Lytechinus pictus: one gene and its partners. The protein of the gene in region 3 purifies or fractionates together with the protein of the main gene of each other region. This does not show direct contact. Links are inferred from orthologs where the notes say so. Each region holds a gene or a part of one and is shown on either strand. Other genes may lie near its edges.

The links.
Region 1: the proteins of anaphase-promoting complex subunit 4-like (region 3) and anaphase-promoting complex subunit 7-like purify together in Homo sapiens (affinity purification with western blotting; 14 studies listed by BioGRID and IntAct, with this or other methods). This does not show direct contact. The link is inferred for Lytechinus pictus from reciprocal best matches to the Homo sapiens genes ANAPC4 and ANAPC7.
Region 2: the proteins of anaphase-promoting complex subunit 4-like (region 3) and anaphase-promoting complex subunit 2-like purify together in Homo sapiens (affinity purification with western blotting; 12 studies listed by BioGRID and IntAct, with this or other methods). This does not show direct contact. The link is inferred for Lytechinus pictus from reciprocal best matches to the Homo sapiens genes ANAPC4 and ANAPC2.
Region 4: the proteins of anaphase-promoting complex subunit 4-like (region 3) and anaphase-promoting complex subunit 1-like purify together in Homo sapiens (co-purification; 13 studies listed by BioGRID and IntAct, with this or other methods). This does not show direct contact. The link is inferred for Lytechinus pictus from reciprocal best matches to the Homo sapiens genes ANAPC4 and ANAPC1.

What each region holds. Positions count from the first base shown.
Region 1 is NC_087246.1:28,909,786-28,917,627, reverse strand, and holds the start of anaphase-promoting complex subunit 7-like, read right to left. Parts: upstream 3,026-7,842; 5' UTR 2,923-3,025; coding exon 2,851-2,922; intron 1-2,850. UniProt on the Homo sapiens protein: Component of the anaphase promoting complex/cyclosome (APC/C), a cell cycle-regulated E3 ubiquitin ligase that controls progression through mitosis and the G1 phase of the cell cycle.
Region 2 is NC_087259.1:2,283,096-2,290,178, forward strand, and holds the start of anaphase-promoting complex subunit 2-like, read left to right. Parts: upstream 1-4,058; 5' UTR 4,059-4,072; coding exon 4,073-4,147; intron 4,148-7,083. Other genes in the region: endoplasmic reticulum transmembrane helix translocase-like, read right to left, coding at 3,605-3,859. UniProt on the Homo sapiens protein: Together with the RING-H2 protein ANAPC11, constitutes the catalytic component of the anaphase promoting complex/cyclosome (APC/C), a cell cycle-regulated E3 ubiquitin ligase that controls progression through mitosis and the G1 phase of the cell cycle.
Region 3 is NC_087256.1:13,044,986-13,052,306, reverse strand, and holds the start of anaphase-promoting complex subunit 4-like, read left to right. Parts: upstream 1-4,310; 5' UTR 4,311-4,353; intron 4,354-4,478; exon of another isoform or gene 4,479-4,713; intron 4,714-5,612; 5' UTR 5,613-5,645; coding exon 5,646-5,837; intron 5,838-7,321. Other genes in the region: small integral membrane protein 19-like, read right to left, coding at 652-782, 2,104-2,222. UniProt on the Homo sapiens protein: Component of the anaphase promoting complex/cyclosome (APC/C), a cell cycle-regulated E3 ubiquitin ligase that controls progression through mitosis and the G1 phase of the cell cycle.
Region 4 is NC_087251.1:44,500,819-44,508,056, forward strand, and holds the start of anaphase-promoting complex subunit 1-like, read right to left. Parts: upstream 3,004-7,238; 5' UTR 2,909-3,003; coding exon 2,822-2,908; intron 1-2,821. UniProt on the Homo sapiens protein: Component of the anaphase promoting complex/cyclosome (APC/C), a cell cycle-regulated E3 ubiquitin ligase that controls progression through mitosis and the G1 phase of the cell cycle.

The DNA of each region.
Region 1 (7,842 bases), on a different chromosome or scaffold from region 3:
TCATGCAACTGAGGTATGTTTATACTCTAAACACTCACATTTGTATTTCTTGAATTACATCTGATAAATAAAATAAATAAATTAGATTTCTCACAGGCAGCCTCTCATATTTTCCTTTTAAGTCTCATACAATCAGACACTGTTGATTTTATTTACTCCATTCAAACCCTATTTTTACCTCAACAGATAACATATTAACGCATAATTTGCAAAATCATCATTATATACATGCATATGTATTCTAGAAAAAATCAGTATATTGAACTAATAAAATGTTGAAATTACTTAGTTAAATCAATTTTTATGTCGGACAAGGGTCTCTTTCGTTGAAATATCAATGAAAGGTGTCTCTAAAAGGACACCGTGTTCTTAATAAGGGAAATAATGAAAATTTCGATTTTATCCAGGGGCGGTATTCTGAAAATCGTGTTAATTTTCGTGTTAAATATCGTGTTATCTCTCTGATTTAACACGCCCCTAACATACCCCCAAATCGGTATTCTGAAAAGCGTGTTATCTGCATGTTATCTCATTTCGTGTTATCTTCAGCTCCTCCCACTCTGCATCTATTTAATCCAATCAAATGCGCTGTTAAAGAAACAAATCGCGCAAAATTTTCAGGGAAAAGGGGAATTGCGCGCTCGGTGACACGAAACCTGCATTGTGACATCATTTTGTAAGCGCATACAGCTAAATAAAAGTTAGGGCTGGAAATAGACACAGGGAGGGGTGATTGTGACAATTAAGAATTTAATTGAATTGAAATATTGAATTGAATAACTATATTGTCCATAGAGGAAATTCTTCTTTCACTGGTTTACACACATATGTAGATACAACGTGTATACACAGAACAGAACACAGAATGGAGTCAGACGGCGTGGATACAAAATTATGACAGGAGACAGATGCCTCGGTCGATTGGGGAGCAGGCAGGGGACGATCGCCCCTAAAATATGAGGGCAAGCATAATTCATGAAAAAATATATTTGAAATGTAAATTTTGAAAAGCATGAATAGCACTTAAGAAAAATTAAATCTGACATAGAAATATCAAACATACAAAATTGTAATTTTTTTTCTTTATTAAAATATTGGATGCGTATAGCGATCGATCAGCCAAAAAAAAAAATCACTTTTGCCCGCCCCCCCCCCTGATCCGAAGCATATAGATTGACTGGTGGGATAGATGAATTAAGGATAACCTAGAAGCATTGAGAGTTAAAAAGGTGTAATTATTGGAACTATATAACCATTGAAAAAGGGTAAAAAAATTGTGAATATTATAGAAGAGTTCCCAAATCGCCAATTCCATTCTTTTTAATTTCTGTTTGTGTTTTTTAGACGTTTTAAAGTTTCTTCCTCTCCATCCGTCTTTTTTTATAATATTGCAAAAAGTAACCAAATAAATAACTTATGAGCATTTATGATAAATATTTCAATTAATCAAAATCAAAGATGCATTTGAAGTGTATTTTCACAGGATATTCCAAAGAAAATGTTGTTTTATCATTGTTAGTAGAGAGATAGGTAGATGGAAAATAAAGCTGGAAAATGAAAGAAAAGTACAGTAAATTCTGCCAGACGATATACATATGCTCGTATATGTTCTTTTTGACGTTTGCGTCTGCTAGAAAAAGTGCAGCCATCGTCATCCACAACTTAACCTCTCCTTAATGCAGTGTTAAATGTTCGTGTTATCTTTGAACAAAATTTTAGCTAACACCAATATCGTGTTTTCTTCCTCCCTAACACCGCGTATGGGGGTTGCGCGTTGGGCCACGTGTTTTTCATGCTAACACGATTTTCAGAATACCAATCGTGTTAGCTAACACCGTTTTTGTGCTAACACGGTTTTCAGAATACCGCCCCAGTTGTTTGTGAATCTTGATTTTTTTTCCTCTTTTTACCTCATAAAGTACGCTCCATAAATTCTACAATCAGTAATAAATAAAACATTATTTGATCCCATTTTACTGAAATATATGATTTTATGAAAAGTCGTCATTCCGAAATAAAAGGTTCAGGTGACGATGAAGACTAAATATTTTTCCGATACTATATCGATATCAAACGATGTCGCGGACTTGAAAGACAAAATTGCCTTCGTGAAACGGAAAGCGCTGATTTGTCGCCAATCTTCCTATCTCGGAAGAATGGTCCTAGGACTTTCCTACGTATTGCTCATCTCGTCATGCAACAGGCCCCATGTCTGTAGAAGTATATGTCAAAATATTACAAAATATCAGACATGGAGTCCTCAAGGCTCAAGTCAGAGGCAAAGCCAAAGGTAGTAAACATTCGACCCCCTCTAAATTTCACATTTATTTTTTATGAATTTTTCAAAAGTGCCATTTTAACGCACAAGTCTAAAGACTATGGGGAATGTTTTACGCGCGTACGCGTGACACCCACAGGGATTGGACGAAGTACGCCCTCTCTAGCGTTATTAGCTAGGCCCTATATCTCTTGACTTGTAGGATGGGGGATCGGGTGTCCGGACACTTTATATTTTTGAAGCCTTCTTTTTTGTCTTAAGATTACACTAAAAATATGAATTCAATAGTTGTAATCATCTTCTATTTTGTTCTCTATAATATTTTCTAAAATTTTGTACTAAAATTTGATGAAACTTCGCTTGTAATTTTTTCCAAATGACTTTCTAAAATTGATCATCCGGACACACAACCTGTCCGGACACACAACAACTGGGTATATGATATGCAGACACATCACAAAAAATCATGAATGGGACTGAGGATGCTTCCTAGAATCCTACTACACTACCGGTACGTCTATGTAGTAGACGGAGACCGGAGTGTGCAGTACTTCAGAAACTTCATGCCTTACCAAAATAGACAAATTTCCAAAGAGTCCTTCCTTTCGCAGGAGGCGAATGTGATCCATCAACCAGACACCCATTCTGACGGTTTTTTCTTCCTACTTGCTGTGCTTAACTTGTTAACAAGTGTAAAATTCACACTCCCAAATTCAAGGTAGGCACTTATGAACCAAGTTTGAAAGGAGACTCGTAAAATTACGTCACTCTCGCCGATGAATATTCATTAGATCGTGGTCGTGCGTGTTCAATACACACTGAGTACAGCTGGCATGCAGAAAGTTATATGCGAGGAACTTTGGCTCTGGACAGAGACAAGTTGTCAAATAACGTGTGTGTGTGTGTACCATCGGCTGGTAGTATTCCATGCTGTTCTACAAACCGCGTCGGAGAGAGTGCATGGCAATTCGGTAAAACGAAGTTTCCGATATAAAGAGATAATAACACTATGTACAGTACGTTGAGAGGCAAATGTCAGATCAGGGGAGGCAGGAGTACAATGTTTTTTTTTTAGGGAAGAATAATGTAGAATAAAAGGTATTATATATAGCCAATTGATCTAGGTGAGGGATTAAGCTTATAGCGAACAATGATGTTTAAAAAAGAGAATGAATATACCTTACCTGAATATTATAATGGTGAAGCCAATTTAAAAGGAGGTGAGGCAAGTTTCAATGGAGGTTTTTAAAAAGAATAAACTGTACTACAAATTTAAAAGGAGGCGAGGCAAGTTTCAATGGAAGCTTTTAAAAAGAATAAACTGTATTATGGTGAAGCCATGCAATTTAAAAGGAGGTGAGGCAAGTTTCAATGGAGGTTTTTAAAAAGAATAAACTGTACTACAAATTATGGTGAAGCCAATTTAAAAGGAGGTGAGGCAAGTTTCAATGGAGGCTTTTAAAAAGCATAAACTGTACTACAAATTTAAAAGGAGGCGAGGCAAGTTTCAATGGAGGTTTTTTAAAAGAATAAACAGTATTATGGTGAAGCCAATTTAAAAGGAGGTGAGGCAAGTTTCTATGGAGGCTTTTAAAAAGCATAAACTGTACTACAAATTTAAAAGGAGGAGAGGCAAGTTTCAATGGAGGTTTTTATAAACTGTACTACAAATTATGGTGAAGCCAATTTAAAAGGAGGTGAGGCAAGTTTCAATGGAGGTTTTTTTTAAAGAATAAACTGTATTATGGTGAAGCCAATTTAAAAGGAGGCGAGGCAAGTTTCAATGGAGGTTTTTAAAGAGAATAAACTGTACTACAAATTTAAATGGAGGTGAGGCAAGTTTCAATGGAGGTTTTTAAAAAGAATAAACTGTACTACAAATTATGGTGAAGCGAATTTAAAAGGAGGTGAGGCAAGTTTCAATGGAGGTTTTTAAAAAGAATAAACTGTACTACAAATTATGGTGAAGCCAATTTAAAAGGAGGTGAGGCAAGTTTCAATGGAGGTTTTTTTTAAAGAATAAACTGTATTATGGTGAAGCCAATTTAAAAGGAGGCGAGGCAAGTTTCAATGGAGGTTTTTAAAGAGAATAAACTGTACTACAAATTTAAATGGAGGTGAGGCAAGTTTCAATGGAGGTTTTTAAAAAGAATAAACTGTACTACAAATTATGGTGAAGCGAATTTAAAAGGAGGTGAGGCAAGTTTCAATGGAGGTTTTTAAAAAGAATAAACTGTACTACAAATTATGGTGAAGCGAATTTAAAAGGAGGTGAGGCAAGTTTCAATTGAGGTTTTTTAAAAGAATAAACTGTACTACAAATTTAAAAGGAGGTGAAACAAGTTTCAATGGAGGTTTTTAAAAAGAATAGACTGCATTATATGGTGAAGCGAATTTAAAAGGAGGTGAGGCAAGTTTCAATGGAGGTTTTTTTAAAAGAATAAACCCTACTACAAATTTAAAAGGAGGCGAGGCAAGTTTCAATGCAGGTTTTTAAAAAGAATAAACTGTATTATGGTGAAGCCAATTTAAAAGGAGGTGAGGCAAGTTTCAATGGAGGTTTTTAAAGAGAATAAACTGTACTACAAAATTTAAATGGAGGTGAGGCAAGTTTCAATGGAGGTTTTTAAAAAGAATAAACTGTACTACAAATTATGGTGAAGCGAATTTAAAAGGAGGTGAGGCAAGTTTCAATGGAGGTTTTTAAAAAGAATAAACTGTACTACAAATTATGGTGAAGCGAATTTAAAAGGAGGTGAGGCAAGTTTCAATGGAGGTTTTTTAAAAGAATAAACTGTACTACAAATTTAAAAGGAGGTGAAACAAGTTTCAATGGAGGTTTTTAAAAAGAATAGACTGCATTATGGTGAAGCGAATTTAAAAGGAGGTGAGGCAAGTTTCAATGGAGGTTTTTTTTAAGAATAAACTGTACTACAAATTATGGTGAAGCGAATTTAAAAGGAGGTGAGGCAAGTTTCAATGGAGGTTTTTTTAAAGAATAAACCCTACTACAAATTTAAAAGGAGGCGAGGCAAGTTTCAATGGAGGTTTTTAAAAAGAATAAACTGTACTACAAATTATGGTGAAGCCAACTTGAGAGGTGAGGCAAGTGTAAAATGATGTTTTAACAAATAATGGATATTATGTAGAAGCAAACTTGAAAGGAGGTGAGGCAAGTGTACAATGATGTTTTAACGAAAAGGGTATTGTAAAGCCAACTTGAGAGGAGGTGAGGCAAGTGTAAAATGATGTTTTAACAAAGAATGAATATTATGGTAAAGCCAACTTGAGAGGAGGTGAGGCAAGTCTACAATGATTTTTTTTTAAAGAATGATAAGTGTAGAATATAATTCAAATGATGAAGCCAACTTGAGAGGAGGTGCATGAGGCAAGTCTACAATGAGGTTTCTAAAAACAATGAATAGTGAAGAAATAGATTGCAATTGCTTGTAATAATCCACAAAATTGTGTAGTTACTTATTTCATGCAAATTGATATTAATTGATTATGCTCATTTGTGCATAATTAGTATACTATACCAATTCCTCTAACTCCCCAAATAAAGCTCCAAATGGTCTAATTTTTGGTTTAGAAACTCTTTGTGGTGTTTTTTTTAATAATTCTTGGGTTTTGTACTTTTGTATTGCATTGTTTTTTTTTTCAACGAACTTTGCTGGGACTCTCGTAACAGCATAAAATAAATCAGTTTAGTTCAACAAAACTAAAAACAATTAGGCATTTATGAATTTTGGTTGAAAACGCATATTCCATTGACGTGGTATACACAAATATCACAATTTTGAGTCATTTTTGTCTGATATGTACCTTCAAATTGTTTGGTAATTTTCAGAACCCAGTACCCGGGCTTCGCAAAACATGCAAAAGACTTTTTTTTTAAATCACAGAGCTCAGAGCCCCCCCCCCCCCCCCCCCCTGCGTAATTAGGTTAAGTATGCATTAATTTTGAACATTTCTATTCCCCAAATATGTAATATCCCCTCCCCAAAAATGCAATTATCACTGAAATGGAATATACATAATATATTTTTTGATAAGCCAGGTTATGCAAAATAATCATCACGTCGTCATCCTTTGTCAACAAGAAATCTGAACATGTCCTCTGGAAAAAAAATAATACCTCGGCCGCCTATTAAATTCTAAGTTTTCATTTTGTAAGTATTTTACTTAGCAATTTGGCTGGCTTAACAAAATGCTTAAACTTGATGCAGATCAGATCTCAGAATTTACCTTATCCAAATTGAAGTAAATACTAATACCCATTGTGATGTTATAAATTTTGAGCCAAATAGTGCCAAATATGTGAATGTATTTCTGTGCGTATCATTTTTGTATATGTAGACTTAAGACTAGTAGATGGCTGACTTACATTTAAGCAAAATATTTAGCCAAAAAAAAATGCAATTGAATACCAAAGATGGATAAGTACTTTACTTTTGCAAAATACTGAGTAAAATATACTTAGAATTGTGGTTTTAAGAGTAGCATTGAATACCGGCCATGTTCCTCATCATCATTATCATCCCACTACCACACCAGTTTCTGCAGCACAAACTTTAACTTTCATAGGTTGAGTCCATTTCAAAGCCAACACTGTCACTTTAACTTTCTTTTTTCTCTTATAACATGACGTCCACACACTGCCAATCACATCATTACAACACCAACTGTCAGAGGACAACAGAACTGCAGTTACCATAGCATTACCCCCAAAACACCACTCAATTTTGAATTGATCCAAATGAAATATGACTGTGTTGCACAAAGAAAAGCTATGTAGTCATAGTAGATTTTATTGACTTGTACATTTATAAGGCTATATATTTTGAGTAATTGTCGTGTTGTCTTTAGTGATAGTTAGTACCCACTGTGCTTATGGCCAACTTTGGTAAAGGCATACATTGAATAAACTTTTATGTACTGAAAATGATGACAGAATATATTCTAAAAAATAACATTAGAAATGCATGACAGGTAATGCAACATATTTCAACATGAACTATTTCACAATTTGCCAACATGAATAAATACTAACCTTAAAAAAATAGTAGAAGCTGATGTTGGATGGAAAAGAATATCTATGTCATACAGCTTGAAATACATTACATATGTATGCACTTAATGGTATCTACATGATCATTAAGTTCTTCTACACAGCTTGATATAATGTTGATATATCCAGTTTGGCAAGTACTGTTGTGGTTGAGGCAAGGTTAATGGTTTTTTCTGAATACTGAACCCCATTTTGTGTAACGAAATTAAATCTATCAGAGTTACATGACAAAGTACAACAGAAGAAAATACCAACAGCTAGGCAAGCTTTTTTACATAAATATTTTTTTCATATACTCTTTGATATTTTTTCTCAACAAAACAAAATGTGGCCAGCCACCCAAATATCAACAATAAGTTGCCAGGGAAGGTTCGTAAAAAATAACCAAAATAGTAATTCAGTTTTCCAAACGCATATTTAGAATATTGGTTTATCCGAAAAAAAAAATTCTTCATACTGTCAAAATGTGAGGTTGTAAAAGTTGAAGACAAAA
Region 2 (7,083 bases), on a different chromosome or scaffold from region 3:
CAAAATTTTGTGTTTTCGGCACAAACATTATTTATATCATCAGAAAGCTCAAATTCTATACTTTCTTACAATGTCACTCTTGATATGTGGCATCTTTTAGATGGGTCAGCAGCCAGCTTTTTCCATCAAGATGCAAGACGAGATTTCTGAATTTTTTGAGTAGCATAAAATCCAGAGTTCTGATTGGCTGAATAATGTTTTCAAAACAGGCGAAGGTATTATTTGAAGAGATAAGGCCTGGGGAACATTGGAATTTGCGTGGGTGTGTGGTCTCTATGACCAATCAGAGCGCAGTATTCTTGTTTTTGAGCTGGTAAATGTACTTGGCCTATGAAAAGCTGGCTGCTGACCCATCTAAAATACCTCTTCTTTTAAAAATTATATCATATTAAAGCTTAGATCTTCAGCTTTATCATAATCTAAAAATCATTTGGGCTCAAACAGAAATTATGTGGAAAAATAACAACTTTTGTTGCATGAAAATAATTACTTTCTATTGTGTTTTAGATCAAAAGTTTCACCTATATTACACAATCTTTTTAAAAATCCAAACACATGACCTGAAAGAATGATTCTTCTTCTTTACAAAGATACCAAAAACATGAAATTTTGTCAATATTTAGAGCACCAATAACCGGTGTGTTGGCTCAGTTGGTAGAGCGTCCGTCTCACAACCGGGAGGTCGGGGGTTCAAACCCCGGCCGCGTCAGACCAAAAGACGTTAAAAGATGGGAGTTGCTGCTACCCTGTTTGGCGTTCAACAATTAAAGGGATAGAGCCTCGTCGATCTGGCGCTGCACAGTGGCTGCCGGGCCCACGATCAATTGGGCAAAACAAATTTTCGGAGTAATTCATTTCTGGTGTCTATTTTGAACTACATGTATAAAATATGGATTTTAAGATTTTTTTTTTGAAAGATAAAAAGAGGCACCAAGCTCATTAACAATGCAAAAACCCTCTAGTCATGAATATCACCTAGATAAAAGAAGCTACTTTTTCAGGGCTTGCCGCTTGACTGGACACACAACCTGTCCGGACGCACGACCACTGGTAAGTGCTATAGAGTGAGTGATTGTATTACCGACCGGCTTGTATTACCAAACGCGCGCATCATACGCGTCAGTATATCATTTCATCCACTCAAAACTTTGCAACATCCTTCCAAACAGAACTTGAATAGAAAGATGATGAAAAATTGTCAAAATCACATTTTCAAAAGTCTTAATATTCTAAAAATAATAAAATATGGTCAAAATAGCTCATCAGTGATTTTGTTGTTTTCTCAATTATAGAAAACACACATTCGGTAATACGATACCTTTTTCAAGTGACCAAAATATTTCACATGCGAAGAGGGGTCAGATTGGCAGCAGAGGCGCACGGCCAATATTGGAGACTGTCTCCCATGAGAGAGATTATCTCCAATATCGGAGACTTTTGTAAAGAATTTGGGTATCCAATTTCAGAGACAGTCTCCAGTTTGGGAGGCCAAATTCCTTTGTTTACATTTGCTTCAAAAGGATTACCTTGGCGGCAAATAAAAATGTGATAAGCAGATTCCTCATAAAAAATTACCGTAAGTAACGGTGTATTAACCGCACCTTTTTCTCGGCGGGATATAAGCAAAAGTCGGGGGTGCGGTTTATACACGGTGACGGGTCTGAGCCCGCCCGCGTAGCCCCTCCCGAACATGTAAGAAGTCTGCCAGTTCACAACACATCGAGTGGCCGGCCGTAGCCGCCCAGTGCAATGTCGTTTAGAGGGGTATGAGCCGCGGGTAATGGGTAGCGATTATTATGATCTTATGATCAAATACTGTCGTAACAAATGCACCCACCTTCATGACACTAATTTCGACTTTATTCTCGATTCAAAGCAGCAAAGTTCCCTGGCTAAGTTCATAGAGACGCCAAGCATTCTCGGTGATAATTTGTCACAGCTGAGCGAGAGCCAAGAGCTAGCGCTAGCTTGCGTTGTATTTTGGTTTTAGTGCGACTTAAGCTGGCGCTATTCATTTAATTTAACCCCTCAAAGTCCCGTTTCGCGCCAGCTTATTTTTTTCTTTCCCGTTTGCTTTTCATAAGATACCATGTACACCGTGCACCACGCACGATAGAGACGGCACAAAGCCGTCAAACAACTGGAAAAAATACAAATTTCTTTGTTTCTTGAACCTTCCTGTAATCCCGTATCCAAAATTCATGCTAAGACATCGAATGCTAGACAAATTCTGAAAGTGATTGTGAGGTTGTGATGCAAGAAATGTGAAAGACACAGATCACAATTTGATAAGATGTACTGGTAGTGGTACCGTATCGAAGTTTGAAATGTACATGTACAAGAAAGGCAGTGCTGTGTGTGTGTACACTGTGCTGTGACTGTGAGGTGAGTGAGTGTGTAAATTGCCAATATTGGCGGGACCTTTCTTTCTTGCTAACATTTGTAGATGAATTGATCAAGAACAGCAGATTTCTGCACACTGGTAATCTCTTTGAATACTTTGAAATCTTTAACTTAGTTTTTGTTTCTTCGTACCTCAAATATGCATGTAAATGTGAGGTTTTTTTTTTTTTTTTTTTTTTTTTTTTTTTTTTTTTTTTAGTCCAAAGTTGGGGGTGCGGTTTATACACGGGTGCGGTTAATACACCGTTACTTACGGTACCCCTTTTCACCGTCTACTTTAAAAATTCACCGTCTACTTTTGTTTTGATAAGGATTTTTGTTGTCATCCACACACAAAACAAATGGGCTTCTGACCTCAGCGGGACAAAATTTTGGGTGGAAAAAATTATGCTTTTAATTTTGTTGGTGTCGTTTCTTTTGTTCTTTTGCAAAGCAAGTCTCTAATATGGGAGATTATCTTCCACATTGGAGAGAGTCTCCCATATTGGCCGTGCACCTGTACTGATTGGAAGCTAATATCGTAAAAAAGAAAAAAGATTTTAGCAAAATTTTTACATATTTATATTTTGTAGGTACGGTAATTGTGTATCTATATATTTTTTTATGAGTATGGTGAAAGATTGATGAATTTTATGACAATAATGTGTTTGATATGATTGAATTCATAGAAAAGTGTTCGATAATACAATCCACTACAAAGTACAGCTTGCGCTTGCTGGTTAGTGATAATTAGGTCGGTCGCACATGCGCAGATAGTTTTCAGTTACCGTCCAGGGGCCGATTGCACGAAAGGGTCTTTCCAAGGACCGTCTTTCGTGTCGCCCATCTTTTATGATGCGCTATAAGCAGGGTGGTGTTTCTGAAATTTATGATGAACAAATAAAATTCGTAAGCTTGCTTTTAAATCAAATTTTATAAAATTTCATGAGATATCAGATCATTTTATAAACAAATATTTTGTTTATTTTAACGGACAAATAAAATATAGGCCTATTTGCAGATAATTTATTTGAAATGCGTTTCACATGGCGTATCATAAAAGATGGGCGACACGAAAGACGGTCCTTGGAAAGACCCTTTCGTGCAATCGGCCCCAAGATTTCTCCCGTCGGCCGTCGCAGATTGAAAGCCCTGCCGCGCCGCGGCCCCAACCGGCGCCGGGCTCCTCCGGCGGCGAGGCAGAGCTCGTTGATTTACGTACCTTCCTGCATGTGAGCGAACACCTCACGTGTATTGACCAATGGCAGAACAAGCAGACCAAAATTTGGACACATCCTATGGCTGCTAAAACGATCAATCCAGCTTCCAAATATTCACTGACCCCATAGGCAACCACCAAAAGATATAGCCATGCAATGTATATAAATATAAATGGGAAAATATATCCATGGAGGACTAAGGGCCGCAAATTATATGAGGTGACACTCTCAATTTTTTCTTCCATGGAAGGTGCCATATTGGAAAAAGGTACAATGATTACAATTCACTTGTTAATATGATTAGATTTTATTTTTTTAATACCAATATATTGATCAATTTGTCATTCTCAAAAAATACTAAAGAATATATATATTATTTTCAATCTGAAAATATAGTTTATGAATTATTTACTTGAAATTTTGATTGCTTCATAATATAGACTGAGCGCCAATTTCTGATTGGTTTGAATATGGCTGCATATACTTCAGTCAATTTAGCTTGGGATGAAGTCACAAAATGTCTCTCAAACATCACTTTCCATACGGTGAGACCAATGAAATCGTATTTTATCGTAGATAATTACATGATATCTAGTAATTGTGTGAGATTATTTGATTGAATTGTTGTAGAAAGATATAAATTGTGATCAAACAATGGCTTAAATGTCACTTGATAAAATCCTGCCAGAACTTAGACATGGAAGAGCTCGGGCTCATCTTCGGGGTCGGGCTGTATGGGGGAGCGACCGGGCTGAGCTGTGGCTGTGCGGACGAGCTTATCTTCTGCCGGCTGCGTACTCTGCCAGCCAAGACTCAACTTCTAAACTTGAGTCAAGAGCCCCGAGTTCCATATTTATGATGAATGATTTAAAAACAACTATGATCTACTATAGCTAGGCCCCAGATCAGGGTTGGGCTCAATTACAATTTTTACAAAGCAAAGCAATTCATGAATTAGATCTAGATCTAAAGCCAAACTAGGGAAAGTAATAAGTTAGTAATTGAAAAATTGTTTGACTTCAATTACTGTCGATTACTTTTAATCCGGGCTTATGATTAGATCTACTTTCAATTACATTGTCTTTATTAGGCCTAGATCTACTTACTTTATTATTTAATTTACTCTGGATTGCTTATTTCTCTTTTCCCATAGCTATAAAAGTAATATCTTTTGCATGCAACTGTAGGCCTATCCTTTCCCATTAATATGTAGAGGAAAGAGGAGACACTTGACCATTTGAAATATTTGAGAAATTTTGCAAAAGGTCATACTCATAGGTTCCAACAAGAATTGAGAAATCAAACTATGTAATTTTTCATATTAGCAAAGCTACATTTCTTATATTATAATTTCATGCAGTGGCCTCATTTGTTTGTAACAATAAATGTTAGATGTTAAATCTGTATACTTAAATTTGGAATAGCCTACCCCCCTCAAAAAAAAAAAAAATCAGCTTTAAGTGGGTGATTGCGAAAAATGTGGATGAAAAATACTTTTTTTACTGCCCCCTCCCCTATAGGTGAAAGCTGGATCCGCCCTTTGCACGACTCAAAGTCAAGTTTACATGTTGTACATTATGATTTCTACATATGAAGAAAGCATGCAGATCTACATTTTATTGAGAATTTCAATTGAAACAGAGCAATAGGCAGGATCAATGCTCTCTAAACTAATAAAACCTTCATGTCAGTTTCTCTCTAACTTATAATTATGTTGAAATGGGTGGCACTACATTTAAAATATGAATTGATTTCATTTATGACTTTATTAAAAGTAATTGAAATTGTAATTGATAAAAGTAATTGGTAATTGTAATTGAAGAAAGTTATTGAGCCCAACTCTGCCCCAGATGCGTAGACGTAGACTTAATTAATATCCTTGGCAAGGGCTGGGCAAGGCCGCTTAACTTTAAACAAGGACAAAGACTGATGTGATGCCGTGGCAAAGATAATTAAATCATCATCATCATTGTACAGAAGAAGTAGGTAATCCTGTATTAGTGCTTCCGATCATTCCTTTGAGATTACTTTTACTGGTTTTTAAAAACAACTGATTAACGTGTGTGGAGGGTGGACATAGCCAGGAGGCTCCTAGAGAGTAAAAATCATTCACTAACGTGTGCTCTCCACGGAGTCGGGGATTGCGTCCCATTCATGTGCTTGTACCACAAAAAAAATTGAAATTTTCGCCCCCAGAATTCCTACTTTCCTTCTAAGATCTAGCCTTAAATCATGTAAATGGGATACAACTTCATTTCCGACATTTATACGATATTGATTCCATTTTTGTCTCACCTGCATAGCAGAGTGAGACTATAGGCGCCGCTTTTCCGACGGCGGAGACGTCAACCCCAAATCTTAACCAAAGGTTAAGTTTTTGAAATGACAGCATAACTTAGAAAGTATATGGACCTAGTTCATGAAACTTGGCCATAAGGTTAATCAAGTATTACTGAACATCCTGCCTGAGTTTCATGTCACATGACTAAGGTCAAAGGTCATTTAGGGTCAATGAACTTAGACCATGTCGGGGGAATCAACATCAAAATCTTAACCTAAGGTTAAGTTTTTGAAATGTCAACATAACTTAGAAAATATATGGACCTAGTTCATCAAACTTGGCCATAAGGTTAATCAAGTATTACTGAACATCCTGCATGAGTTTCACATCACATGACCAAGGTCAAAGGTCATTTAGGGCCAATGAACTTTGGCCAAGTTGGGGGTATCTGTTGAATTACCATCATAACTTTGAAAGTTTATGGATCTGATTCATGAAACTTGGACATAATAGTAATCAAGTATCACTGAACATCCTGTGCAAGTTTCAGGTCACATGATTAAGGTCAAAGCTCATTTAGGGTCAATGAACTTTGGCCAAATTAGGGGTATTTGTTGAATTACCATCATAACTTTGAAAGTATATTGGTCTAGTTCATAAAACTTGGACATAAGAGTAATCAAGTATCACTGAACATCCTGTGCGCCTTTCAGGTCACATGACCAAGGTCAAAGGTCAATGAACTTTGGCCATAATGGGGGTATCTGTTGAATTACCATCATAACTTTGAAAGTTTATGGATCTGACTCATGAATCTTGGACATAAGAGTCGTCAAGTATCAGTGAACATCTCAGTGAGTTTCAGGTCACATGACCAAATTCAAAGGTCATTTAGGGTCAATGAACTTTGGCCATGTTTTTTTTTTTTGTTGAATTACCATATCTCTGTAAGTGTATTGGTCTAGATCATAAAACGTGGACATGAGAGTAACCAAGTATCACTGAACATCTTGTGCGAGTTTCAGGTCACATGACCAAGGTCAAAGGTCAATGGATATTGGCCATGTTGGGGGTATTTGTTGTCAAATTACCATCATAACTCTGTAATTTTATTGGTCTAGTTCATAAAACGTAGACATAAGAGTTCACATGACCAAACTCAAAGGTCATTTAAGGTCATTGAACTTTGGCCATTTTAGA
Region 3 (7,321 bases):
GGAGCGTAGTGTAGCGGTAGTGAAGTGGAGTGGAGCCTGTACCAACTTCGCTCGAGGTACGGTACATGTAATTAACCTGTGTTTTTAATGAAGTACAGGTAAAGTTTTTCTCTACTAACCAGCAACCAGATGAACCTCTTCCGACACCAGGGCCTATTACGTTATAAAGTTACTATTACGGTAACTTTGCTATCCAACTTCCCTGAAATCCTTGATTTTGATTGGCTGATGAGCGATGTTACCATGGTAGTTACCAATGGATAGCAAAATTACCATAATGATAAAAATGCGATGGCCCCTTGAAATTTAACAAATTAATTTTTCATGAAAAGAAAAGAAAAAATAAATCTTCCTCATTTCATGCTCTTTCCTTGAACCAGATTCACCAGTGAATGTGTAGAAAATAATGAAGTCTCTGGATTACCTGACAGTATGGCTGTTTTTAAACATTGCCAGGGCTTTATCTAATCCAAAGCCACCCTCTGTGCCCCCCCCCCCCCCCCCCCCCCGCACTTCGAAATTTTTGTGCCTTTCAAACCTTTTTTTTTTATTTGTGCTGAAATATAAGAATATACCCTTTTAAACAGTGGCCTTGACATAAAAATATTGACATCTAATACTTGCACAGCATAGTGACAAAAAGGAACTTACAGATGTAGTATGATTCTAGTTGTTGTCTTAATCTGACTTGCTGTAGCTCTTCTTTATACCTGCTGTTAATAAGATCTGTCTGATCTCTAGTCTTCTTCATAGTCAGCATTCTAACAATCTTTCCTTTGTTCCTGAAAAACATAAACACATATTGGAAAAAATGTTAAAGGCCAAGTCCACTCCAACAAAAAGTTGATTTGAATAAAAACAGAAAAATCCAACAAGCATAACGCTGAAATTTCATCAAAATCGGATGTAAAATAGAAAGTTATGACATTTGAAAGTTTCGCTTAATTTCACAAGTTATATGCACATCCTGGTCAGTATGCAAATGAGGAGACTGATGTCATCCACTCACTATTTCTTTCGTATTTTATTATATGAAATATGACATATTCTAATTTTCTCCTCATCGTCAAGTGAAACAATGATTAATTCCTCCCCAAACATGTGGAATTAGCATTGTTTAATACTACATGGTTCAGTCAAGTTGGTCCTTATTGTCAAATCTGTAAAAAATGATATAATTCAAACAATACAAAAACAAAAGAAATAGTGAGGGACATCATCGACTGTCTCATTTGCATGTCACTGAGTTGTGTGTATCACTGTTTTGTGAAAAATAAGTGAAACTTTAAAATGTCATAGCTTTCTTATTTTACATCCAATTTTGATGACATTTTCGGTGTTATTCTAGTTCGATTTTTCTCTATTGATTCAAATCTACATTTTCTGGAGAGGACTTGACCTTTATTCCTTTAATGAATAAAAATCATGAATAAAACCCTGTTCACAGTGGTGTAAAGAGCATGAAATAAAATTAAAAAGGAAAGAGAAGGATGAATGACATAATTTTCTGAATATTGTCAAAATCTTTCACAAAATTTGATTTTTGTAATGAAAATGTTGAAATTTTTGCTCCCTCACTCGCAACTTTCATTTCAAAAATATAATTTTTGCCCGATACGCCATATCTAATCCCAGCCACCCCTCAAAATGTTCGCCTCATTACGCCATTGCCTGTTCATTTATGGCCAAGATATTTTTGGCTCTTGCCCCCCCCCCCCCCCCCCCCCTGCTGGCCACACGACCTCTGGCTCTGACCTCTCTGTCTCTGTTAATTATTATTATGGCTTTCCCTGGCCCTGCCAGACCCTGGAATGATTCCAAATTAAATTCCAATTGCCAGAATAGGCAATTAGCTAAGTCCCACATAAACTTGTAGAGTTAGCTTGTTCTACTTTTCGATTGTCTTAATTTTACGTTTACTTTAATAGACTTTTGATGCACGGAGCCTAACAGTAACACATAAATATGATTGGCTCTATTCATTTGTGTGCACTAGAAATCGCACGCGCTTATATACGAATTACGATGAGTATCAACCGGGCAGAACGTTACTCGACTCAAATTAGTCTAACTGAACTAAAGAAAGCTAAAGTCGAAACTTACTTTCGGACATAGAAAAAGAACCAAAGCGAAACGACGATAACAACCATGTAAATGTTAGTTGCTTCATTCCAGTGATCGATGTGTTCCTCTGGAGGAAGACCATGGTTTTCATGCGCCATTTGGATTATTTTTAGGATCAGTCAATCAATCGCATAAAAATAACAATAAATAAAACCGTCTATGGCAGGCCATAAGGGAACCAATTATTTAGTGTCATGTGCATAGCATGCAGACTTGGAGAGAAAGTGCCAAAATGGAAACGCCATTTAAAGGCCCTTCCTAATCATGTTAAATCAGTTATGATTTTTCATATTTTAAAGAGGTATTGATTAAAGCAAACCTAAGTCACAATTACTAGTGACTTATAAATTTTGTCTTCAATCTTAAAAAAACAATAAATTATATATGTATTTCTGATGTAATTTTGTCCCACTCAATGAACCTAATATAAAACGTGTATGTTGATGGTTAAAAATAAACCACGCATCGGATGTGTTTTGGCAAATGTACTTTTTTATGAAGAGGAGCAGTGTCTTGCCTTTATATAAATTCTGATTTGTATATCGAACATGTCGACTGAGCAAAATTGGCAGCCGCACATTTGGTTAATGTGTAAAAAATTGTGGCTGGAAGGTTGTTATATCTCTAAAGACTAGCGACTCAAGTGCATGAGCAATTTTATTTTCTTGAGATAGGGCTTGATCGAGTTATGATCTATATTATTATATTTTGTAATCACTTTCTATATAGACGTAAAAGAGACAGAATGGCAAAACAAGCGTGGAATATATGACATTCAGTTTGACTTTATAAAATCATTTCACTGTAATATAAATATTCCTCTTTTAAAAAACATTTAATTCTTTACAAATATGTTTAAGTCTACATTTAGTTTAGCTAAATCCCACAAAGTTATCGCTCCAATTCATGATGAATGTGTATACTAGGGCTGTATACCCTAAATTATGACGACGTGAAGGATATGAAATAGAAATGTGTTTTATTATATATCAAAATGTTATTTCGATACTGGTGCCCGATCGAAATAAGATATCTGTTATTTTTTCATGGGGAGTTGTTATATCTTTTCAATCATGGAATTGGCTGAAAGATTTAGTATTCAATAGCTTTCTAATATGACTGATAATTTGTAGAGTAAGTGCAAGTGCTGCTTTTAATAATAAAAACATCACCCAGATACTAGGGGTACTAGGGCGCTTTTTTTAGTGAGGCCAAATAATTCAAATCCGAACGGCGAGGTGCCGTGGCCGAACGATCTATATAGCCCCTGACTACGCCATATGGAGAATTAAATATGACAAATTAAACATTTTTGTTTAAGAATTTGTTTAAACAACTACTGTACGACATAGTAAACAGCGCAAATATAGAAATAAAATATGACATGTACCGGGTATGCATCATTGACCGTCAAAGTGTGTCACGTGTTTAGATTTTTTTTAAACCTGCTGAATTGTTAGATTTTAATTCTAACGTCCGCAAAACATCTAATAATTAATGAACCCTTTACACTTTTGTAATATGTTAGATGACACTCAAGTATTACTGGCTATTTTAAAGCTTTCGACTGGCTTAAAGAAAAAAGGTTTAACTTTTAATAAAAACATGCACTTTTACTAAGGAACATTGTTAAAAGCTTTTTGCTTTCACAAATCATAATTATTTCACAAGCATAGTTTATTCGAAATTTTGGCCCACCCCCTGAAAAAACGTATAATAATAATAATAATATAGAGTATTTCTAAAGCGCCAAATCCACATTGATTATGTGCTCAAGGCGCTGTTTAAGAAAAATATATTTCATTCCCACAGTGACTCTCCACGAATCACTTCATTTGCTATGAAAATATATTTAATTTTTTATTAAAAAAACATATCACTTTTCGCAAGCATATAGTTTTTAACAAAATAATTGCTATGGGTGTTTTTAGTAAAATATTTAACTTTCTTGGAACTTTTTTTGTGAAACATTTTTTGTGAAAAGTGAAAAATACATTTTCTTAAAGTGGAATATTATGTTTGTGAAAAGATAAATGCATTGTTTTCGTAAAAGGAAAAAATATGGTTTTATACAAGAGAAAAATATATATTTCTCAGAATGAAATATTTATCCAAAAATGAAATATATTATTGTTGGAGTAAAATGAATTTTAATTTTTAATTCTTAGTTTATGGCGTCCCATATTGATCTTCCAATCCGATCCCGCGCGGAGCCTTGTTTTTTACGTTGTAAGTCATTTGTTCTAAAGTTCTGATTAATAATTTTATGAAATAGAATAGAAAATATAAATAGAGAGTCTACCTTTCATATTAACGCATCATACTTTACCCTACAAATACAATACCGTACTGGTAGTCGATGCCATGATTTTCAGCCAGGCAGGGCCAGGGGCACTGCCAGTGCCACTGACCGATCCGAGTGAGGCTGATCTGGGCTGCTACTGCTACCGGTAGCTCCGCCGCCGCCGTAACTTCGGGCGCGGGCCGAGCTCGTGCTAAGACTTGAGTCTTGACACCGGCGCGGCAAAGCTTTTGTCTTTTGACATTTTTGTAGGCCTTTTACTGAATTATGCATAGAGCCATATTTTGGTATGTACTTCCACTCTCCCATCATATATGTTCTAGAAAATTTAAGTCTAGTTTCACGAAGAAAGAAATACTCCCAGAAACAAAATTCACTCGAACTCTAGTCTAGACTAGAGTCTAGTCTAGTAGTAGTACCATGAGTACCGTTACTACTAACTTAGTAGTAGTAGTACTAGTAGTACTAGTAGTCCCGTAGTACTGGTATACTATGACAGTAGAGGCGCACGGCCAATATAGGAGACTCTCTCCAATAGGGGAGACAATCTCCCAAATTGGAGACTTGCTTTGCAAAAGGACAAAAGAAACAACACCAACAAAAGCATGTTTTTTCCACCCAAAATTTTGTCTCACTGAGGTCAGAAGCCCGTTTGTTTTGTGTGTGATTGACAACAAAAATCCTTATCAAAAATATCAAAACAAAAGTAGACGGTGAATTTTTAAAGTAGTACTAGTAGACGGTGAAAAGGGGTAATTTTGCACGAGGAATCTGCTTATCACATTTTTATTTGCCGCCAAGGTAATCCTTTTGCAGCAAATGTAAATAAAGGAAATTGGTCTCCAAAACTGGAGACTGTCTCTGAAATCGGATACCCAAATTCTTTACAAAAGTCTCTGAGTCTGATATTGGAGATAATCTCCCACATTGGAGACAGTCTCCAATATTAGCCGTGCGCCTCTACTGTATGAGGCAACTTTAAGTTTAACCAGAGCAAATTGAAATTTTGAATTATTGTTTTTTTTTTCTGCTGCACATCCATATTCCATTTCCAACAAAGAATCTGTAATAGAACAACAACATTACTGAATGACAAGGTTCATTGGTCTGTATTCGTTGGGCATCAAAAATCTATAAAGAATTCTGTAATTGTAATTATGATTCTCATATTTACTCTATACTATAGCTTTGCCATTGGCTTTGATGGGCTGTCATCTTAATGGTTTTGTTGAAACAGACAGGTCCTCATCTTGACCAAGGCATACCTTATAGATCTGAAGAAGCCACAGGATCACCCACAATGCAGCAGTCATTCCGTCAGCTTGAAGAGAGAAACCTCTCTGTAGAGGTTACCCTTATGCAGTGGTCCCCCAAGATGGATCTCATTGCCCTAGCCAATGAAAATGGAGAGGTATGTTCCTACAAAGTGTAGTATATTTAGGTCAAGTCCACCCCAGAAAAATGTTGATTTGAATAAATAGAGAAAAATCAAACTCAATTCAATTCAAATTGTTCAATTCAAATTGTTTTATTCTCTCAGTAAAACCTTTACATAAAAAACAAATATAATACAAAGTTAAAATACATGTATTACAAATCAGTGTAAAAATTGCATTATGATTCAGAATCATACTAGCATATCACAAAAAATTTCATCAAAATCGGATGTAAAATAAAGTTATGGCATTTTAAAGTTTCGCTTATTTTTCACAAAACAGTGATATACACAACTCGAGTGACATGCAAATGAGTCAGTCGATGATGTCCATCACTCACTATTTCTTTTGTTTTTTATTGTCTGAATTACACAATATTTCATTTTTTATAGATTTGACCATGAGGACCAACTTGACTGAACCATGTAGTATTAAACAATGTTAATTCCACATGTTCAGGGAGGAATTAACCGGTGTTTCACTTGGCAATGAAGAGAAAATGAGAATATTTAATATTTCATATAATGAAATACAAAAGAAATAGTGAGTGGATGTCATCAATCTCCTCATTTGCACACCGACCAGGATGTGCATTTAACTGTTTTGTGAAATTAAGCAAAACTTTAAAATGTCATAACTGTCTTATCTTACATTTGATTTTGATGAAATTTTCAGTGATATGCTTGTTGGATTTTTCTATTTTTATTCAAATCAACTTTTTGTTGGGGTGGACTTGTCCTTTAACAGTAAATTACCAGTTGGTCTACACCAGGGTTGAGCTCAATTACTTTCTTCAATTACAATTACGTAATTGAAGAAATGTTCAATTACAATTACTTTTCAATTAAATTACATTTTTTCAATTACAATTACCAATTGCTTTTGTCAATTACAATTACAATTACTCAAAAAATGTAATTGATTACGTAATTGATCAATTACCTTGTAATTGAGCACAACCCTGGTCTACACTCTTCTTTTTCTTCCTGTTTTGTTCCATCTTACATGGTCTTATCTTAATCCATCTACAAATGGCTATCTAACCGTTTGGTCTAATTGCTTTGTAGCTCATTTACCATTTTGTTTAATTTCCAGTTAGACTCTGCCCATTTTGTAGGGAAAAAAATGAAATACAAGTCTAAAATGGATACTTGTAATTCATTGAAATTAAATTTGTGTTTGATTTCTGGATTTGAGTTTTGATTGCATTGTATTCTGCAGCAAGGCCCATACAACCAGTTCATGAGATTGAGTTTTGGAAGAAATGTTTGCAAGTTGTTGATTATAGTGCACCTCAAAATCACTGGATATGCTGTGAGAAGTTTGGATCTCCCATTTTGCTGCTCACTTCAATCTTAATCACTATCGTTCAGTCAATTTTTTGTTGTATTTTGAATGTTAGGGCTTTTGAAGATAAGTCATTTGCAATAAACCTATTTATTATTGCTTTCACCCCTCT
Region 4 (7,238 bases), on a different chromosome or scaffold from region 3:
TTCAGTACACTACATTATTTGAATTTAGCATTTTGGGTCATAAGACTTTTTAAGAGAAAAGCTCTCAACTAAAGTAAAGTAGTCCTATGTAAAAATATGCAGTATGCTATACAAAAGATTTATATGCATAGCCTTGGCATAGCCAGGGCTCGACACTAGCGCCGGTCCGACGGTCCCAGACCGGTAAAAATCACTGTCGGGCCGGTAGATTTTCAGAAATAGCAAGATTTACTGGTCCGACAAGACCAGTAAGAAAATATCATTGTCGGGCCGGTAATTTTTCCAAAAATAGCAAGATTTATGGGTCCGACATAAACAGTAATAAAAACCATTGTTGGGCCAGTAACTTTTCCAGAAATGGTCAAATTCACTAGTCCAACATAAACATAAAAAATATTCCATGACTCAAATTGCAAACCATTTTCCTCCCGTTAAATTTGGTCATTCACACACAGAATGAATCGCATGCAATTTTTACTAGGGTAACATACAGTGTACATATGGCTAGCCAGCCACACAGCCCACATGGTGAATTTTCTACTGGCTGCACGAACGAAGCTTGGCAAACCTCTGGCAGAAATCTCTCACAGAACGGTCAAAATTCACATTTCACACTAATGAAAAGCTCTTATAATGTCCATATTTCCAAAAAATTGGGGTAACTGTCATTTGTAAGCAGTAAAAGGAGAAATTTTCACTTCTGTTTTAGTTCAAAGAGATCGGGTTTCGAGTGATATCGTCTGAATACATGATAGCCCCACATATGCATTTGTGTGTGTGTTGATACACTTGGTTTCTTTCGTAGCTATATCTTAATTGAGCCAAAAAGAAACTGATAATTTATTTATGATAGTTTTAGCTTTCTTCCTCTGTTTTCTTTCTATCTTTCTTTCCTTCTTTCTTTTCAATCTTTCTTTGTTTCTTCCCTCTCTTCTTTAATTTTTTTTGTTACTGTCTTTCTTTTTTAATTATTCTTTGTCTTTCGTTCTTTCATTCTTTCTGTCCTTTTAACATTTTTCTCTATTTCTTTTTCTCTTTCTTTTTTGATTTCTTTCTTTCTTTTATTCTTGAGTCCATCCATCCTATATTTATCTCTTCTTTCTTTCTTCCTTTCCTTCTTTTTACCCTTTCTTTCCTTCATTCTTTGTTTCTTTCTTCATTCCATCCATCCTTTCTTTACCATTTCTTGTTTTTTATTTCTTCCTTCTTTCAGCCCTTTCTCTCTTTCTTTCATTCATTCCTTCCTTTCTTTTTTCCCTTCATTCCATCTATCCTTTTACTTTTTTTTTTTTTTTTTTTACTGCTTGCTTCCTTTCCTTTCTTCTTTCGTTCTTTTTTTCCCTCATTCCTTCCTTTCTTTGTCTTTCGGTCTTTCTTTTTTTTCTTACTTTCATCTATTTTACATTTTCTTTCTTTTTTCTATTGCTTGCTTGCTTCCTTCCTTCTATCTATCATTTTACCTTTCTTTATTTCTTCCTTCTTTCAATACTTTCTTTCTTTTTTCCTTCTTTCCATCTCTCCTTTTACCCTTTCTTTCTTTTTTTATTGCTTCTTTCCTTCTTTTGTTCTTTCTTTCTATATTGCTTGCTTCATTTCTTTCCTTCTTTCTTTCTTTCCTTCATTCCTTTATTTCTTTTTTCTTTTGTTCTTTCTTTCTTATTTTTGTTCTTTCTTTCCTTCCTTCCTTTCCCTCTTCAGTTCTTTCTTTTTTTCCTTCCTTCACATTTATCCTTTATTTACCCTTTTTCTTCCTTTCTTTCTTTCTATCTTTTTTCCTTCTTTCCTTATACCCTTTCTTTCTTATTTTATTGCTTCTTTCCTTTTTTCATTACTTTCTGTCTTTTGTTTTTCCTTTTTTTCTTTTGTTCTTTCTTTTTTCCTTCCTTCACATCTATCCTTTCTTTACCTTTTATTTGTTCTTCCTTCCTTTCTTTTATTATTTCTTCCTTTGTTTCTTTCATTCCTTCATTTTTTTTGGGGGGGGGGGTAACAAGAAAGGACAGCAAAATAAACTCACGCCTTTTTTTAATGTTTTCTTTATTTTGGGGACCAGTAGATTTTAGGTTCGGACCAGTAAAAAATGGAAAAACTGGGTATCTACTGGTCCGACATGAATAGGTTGGACCAGTAGAAAAAAAGGGTTAGTGTGGAGCCCTGGCATAGCAGTCTTTCAAAAGTGTGGAGCAAATTGCGATCGATACCAGGAAAATTATTCCTTGCTATTCCTTTCCCTTTCATGTATTTTCTCTTCTTTCTCCTCTCCCCTCTTCACATCCCTCTTTTAAGTTTTAATTTTATTTCTTTCTTCTCTCCATGTCTTTAGTCTCCTTTCCTTTCATTATTCCACTTGTATTTTTGAATTTCCAGGTAAAAATCTTCCAGGAGCTGGGGTCAGACTGCCTCCCTCTGGCCTGTCTGTTATGCCATTATGTAATAAACACCCATTTTTATTCATTTTTGTTTTATTCAATGAAAAAAAATGGGTGTTGAAACTTGTCACTTGAATCAAATGGCAAATGTCACTAAAAAAGAACCACTTTAAAATATATCCTTAAATCAGAGAAGGTCATTGCAAACTTTAAAGTTACTGAAAATAAATTGTCAATAGAGTGTAATAAATTAGATATAATATTCTAACGTTAACTTGTCACAATGTTAAAATTCAGAATGAGCATCGAGCAAAACTTAAGGAAGTTAAGCCAAAGGGTGTGGGACTGAGCCTGAGGTGACGTGATGCAGGTCGATGATAATAATTTGAATTTCAATCTAACGTTAGTCTGGAAGTATTCCATAATCAATTCTTCAGAAAATCATACTGTACCTCGTCTTCCAGCTTTCCCTCTAATTCAATAGTCTCACATGAATCTGAAAAAGACAATTCAAGTATTTTCACGGGCGGAGTTGACATCAACTCAGGGCTCAATCAAGACAAATCTAATTTACCGCTTCGATATAATTGCACGTTTCGGATCGATCGTTCGGATTTGTGGAATGTCGCCATCTGCGTTCAGAATCTGGCATGTAAATTAGCGTTGATCGGAAAACGCGATCGCGAGCGGTACCCATAAATTTCCGGATAGTGGACGCTTTGGTATGTATTTTTCATTTGTTTTACCCCAAACCATTCATGTTTGAAATTGTGACGTGACTTGTAATAATAAACCCAATTGTTTATGATAATCTCAATTAAATAGATAGTCTTATATTGTCTGGATTGTGCATTTTGAGCCCCCTTGATGTTGCGTTTGATCCCTTCGACGTGTGTTGTTCCACATGTGTATTGTGTTAATAATGGGGAGGTCCCTTCCCTTGCGTTTACGGCCTAATCTCAGCGAGGCCGATTGTGTACCAGAGCTGAGAGTGAGCGTGCAGTATGTAATGTATGTTTGTGTGTGTATAGACTGTATTGTTGGCTTTAGTTTTTGTAGAATGTAACTTTTAATCCCTTTATTAGGCTTTATTGCACTTTATAATATTTTCCAGAGGCAGCCATATCCATTGAATCTTGGCAAACCATTCTTTGCCCAGATGAGAATGTTGGATGTGAGATGGAGGATGCAAACTGCAGATTTCATTTTCGCAAATTTTTGGTTGACATCAATCAGCGCTATCAATAATGGTAATATTGACAATATCAGTTGATCACATGATCTCCGGAGGGGTTCTCCCCCTTCTCCTCTCAAAGGTGAAGCTAACTAACGCGTAAACGCATTAGTTATCTTAATTCTTATCCATATGATTTAGATTCCTTGTGCACTTATACCTTTGAATAATGTGCGTTCAGGGGGCAGGGAATTGGCACTCAACCCCAAAAAAGTGGAGCATTTATAACTGCATAATGCTGGGAGCGAAATTAAAAATAGGCTCGATTGGAACAGGCTAATTCTGAAAAGGGCGGTCTATGGAACTACTGACAAACTGTTGATGAAGAAAAGCCTTCAAGGTAGGCCTAACTCCAGGTAGTTCACTTCAAGAAAAAACAAGAAGAAGAAGGCGATCTATAAACATTAGGGCTTGCCTCCACTGCACTCATGGAGTGGGAATCAGAATCATGACCTTTTCTTTGGAATTTCATTAATCATTTTGATATTTTTAGGGTCATTTCTGTAACATCAGTGGAAAAGAAAATATGCAAATAGAAGTTGCTTGAAGTGTTGAAATTGCATTTTTTTTTTGGTGCTGGACAAACTGTGATGGGACAGACCCATAAGTTTTGGTTTTTTTTAAACAAAAATTACAAGAGATAGACCTATCAATGTGAAAATCGTGCTCTGATGTGAAATTGGTAAAAGTGTTCAGATTTGAGTAAGAAAGTAATTAGTTAATTCTTTGTCATGTACATTTTTCTAATGGGGCTATGATCGGCTATCCAATTCTTAGGATGTCTTTGCATACAGCCTGCAGCTTTTTCCTCATATGCAAGTATGATCCAGCAGCCTAGTACTCTAAAGTAGTATAGTGAGTGATTGTATTACCAACCGGCCTTGTATTACCGAACGCACGCATCATACGCATCAGAAAATAAATTCATACGCTCAAAATTTTGCAACATCTTTCCAAAGAGAACTTGAATAGAAATTGATGATAAATGGTCAAAAACACATTTTCAAAGTCTTAATATTCTAACAATAATAAAATATGGTCAAAATAGCTCATAAGTGTTTTTGTTGTTTTCTCAACTTTTCCCATAGAAAAAACACGTTCGGTAATACGATACCTTTTTCAAGTGACCAAAATATTTCACGTGCAAAGAGGGGTCCGATTAGAAGCTAATATCGTAAAAAGGAAAAACAATTTCGGCAAAATTTTCACATATTTATATTTTGTAGGTAATTGTGTATTTATGTTAAAAGTTTGGTGAATTTTATGAGAATAATGTGTTTGATATGATTGAATTCATGAAAAGTGTTTGGTAATACAATCCACTGCCATACTCTAATCTGGCCAGTCTCCGAACCCATAATGCACCGAACCCATAATGCACCATTCTGAGTAGTGTTATGTCTACATGAATGATTTAAAAATTCACTATGCAGTACATTCATAGAGCATTAATTACCAAATAGAAAACAAGTGCATTTCCTCTTCTCAACAATTTAATTCTCTTTAAATGTAATTAATATAATGCTACTTTAATATTCTCTGTATTATTATCAGGTTATGTCAAAAGGTATATAATTTGAGACTAGTTTTTTTTTCTAACACACAGTTCATGAAGGAACATAATCATGTTGGTCAGTTTGCTCATAAAGCTTTGATTTCAAGTTAAAGTTGACAGAGAGACTCGCCCTTGTAACAATGACAAGTTTTGACCAGCAAAGATGAAATGCGACTGACTCGATGGAATGCCCCATCTATGTTTTGGAGTGGTGATTCTGGTTTTTTTCTTGAGAAGAGAAAACTGCTATGCATTGGAATGGAAATTTGAGTGGAAGTGTTGTCGTCTCATAACCAGTTGGTCTAATATCCATTTCATTTTCATTCATTTTGCACAATTTAACACTTAGTCCAATTAGACCAAATGGTATATGGACTAAATGGCTATTGGACCAACTGGTTATTAGACGGAATGGCATTAGACTAAATGAAAGTAGACCATGTGGTGAGTGGACGAACTAATGGTAGACCAAATGATAGTAGACGAGTTGGCAATTGGATGAATTGGCATTAGAAGAATTGGAAATAAATAATAAACCCTAAATGGGTACCCGGTAGGATGCGAAAGCCTATGTAGTAGGCCTAGCAATTGAGTCTTGGAACTGTTGTTGAAATGCTCCCCAGGGTATAGAGAAAGTGCATACATTGTGTGCGGGCATGTCGGAATCCTGTGATCGGGGACTCGGGGGGGGGGGGGAATATGAACATGTAAAGCGCTCAGAGACACAATGTTGGTTGTTTTTTTTGGGTTGGTTACTCATGTTTCTTGGACAGCAATATGACAAGATGTTAACTTGTCTAACCAGACAAGCTAATGATCTCTTTATTCCAAATTTGAAATGCACATTTTCACGAAACACTATTCAATATATATGTCGGACCCAAACTTTGGAATTCTTTATCAAATGAACTCAAACATTTCCCCACACTCCACACTCCTTCAAACATAGATATAAAATTTCCCTTCTTACTCCTTAAGGTAGTTTTATATTTGCCCCTCCCTCCCCTTCATTCGTCTTTTACTGTCTTTTACTTTATCTGGGGTTTTGAGGTCAAGTATCTCTTCTCATATGTAATTTATGTATTCCATTTTTAATCCATTTTTCTTTTCATTGGGGATTGACCTTGACAGATCAATATGGCCTTTGTCAATCCCCTTCACATTTTGATTTTCTACGTCTTTTTTTATGTACGCCATATTATAACTAGTTTGTATTGTAATTATCTAGGATGTATTTGATTGTAGGCCTACTGATATTGTATGTTTTTTACTCAATATGTGGAAAATGAATTGAATTGAGTTGAATGTGTTCTTAGGAAAGATGGAAAATTCTAAGGAAAGATGGAAACCTCATATGTTGTAAAATCAGAGAGCAATATTTATTTTTTGTGTAAGAGATGGGAAACATGGTTGCTTGCTTTCCATTTTGTCCAAGGGTGACATGGCCTTTAAGAGAGTATAGAAATGTTTCTCCTTCATCACAATTTTTATGAAAACCATACCAAAGAAACCATGTTTAATTTGCAACTTCATGGGGTTTTTTTCTCTCTAGTTGCACAGCACTTGGCAAGTTTACTGATATGGTTTGAGATCCTATGGAAATCAGGGAAACCAAAAACGGAAAAAAATGATTTTGTTTGATCATTTAGTTGTTTATTTCTTTTCCACCAACTTGTGGAATTGCCCAAATACTTCATTTTTGCCTCTCCTGCATAGTTGAAGTAGATAGAGGAGTTGCTTTTCCTCCAGCGGCAGCATTTTTAAAGTTATTAAAAGAATTGTAAGTTAGTGTTTAGAATGAATAGGAAGGTGCATGTATTTTTTAATAATTATAAATGTTCAAATTATGGCATGTTCAACCCTAAAATCTCCGATGTGAAATGTTTGCATGTTTCATTTCATGACTTTTTTCTTTCAAGTCTAAAGCAATTTTTTAGACCAAATTTGCGATGCCCTGGTTCATGGCCTTGGCATATTTGTTAATAATATTTGTGATTAAATTAAGACAATTCTTTATTTTCTTTTCTGGGACAAGCTGTATGAGGGTTTATTATGTGCAATGTATTATAATGTTTTGTTC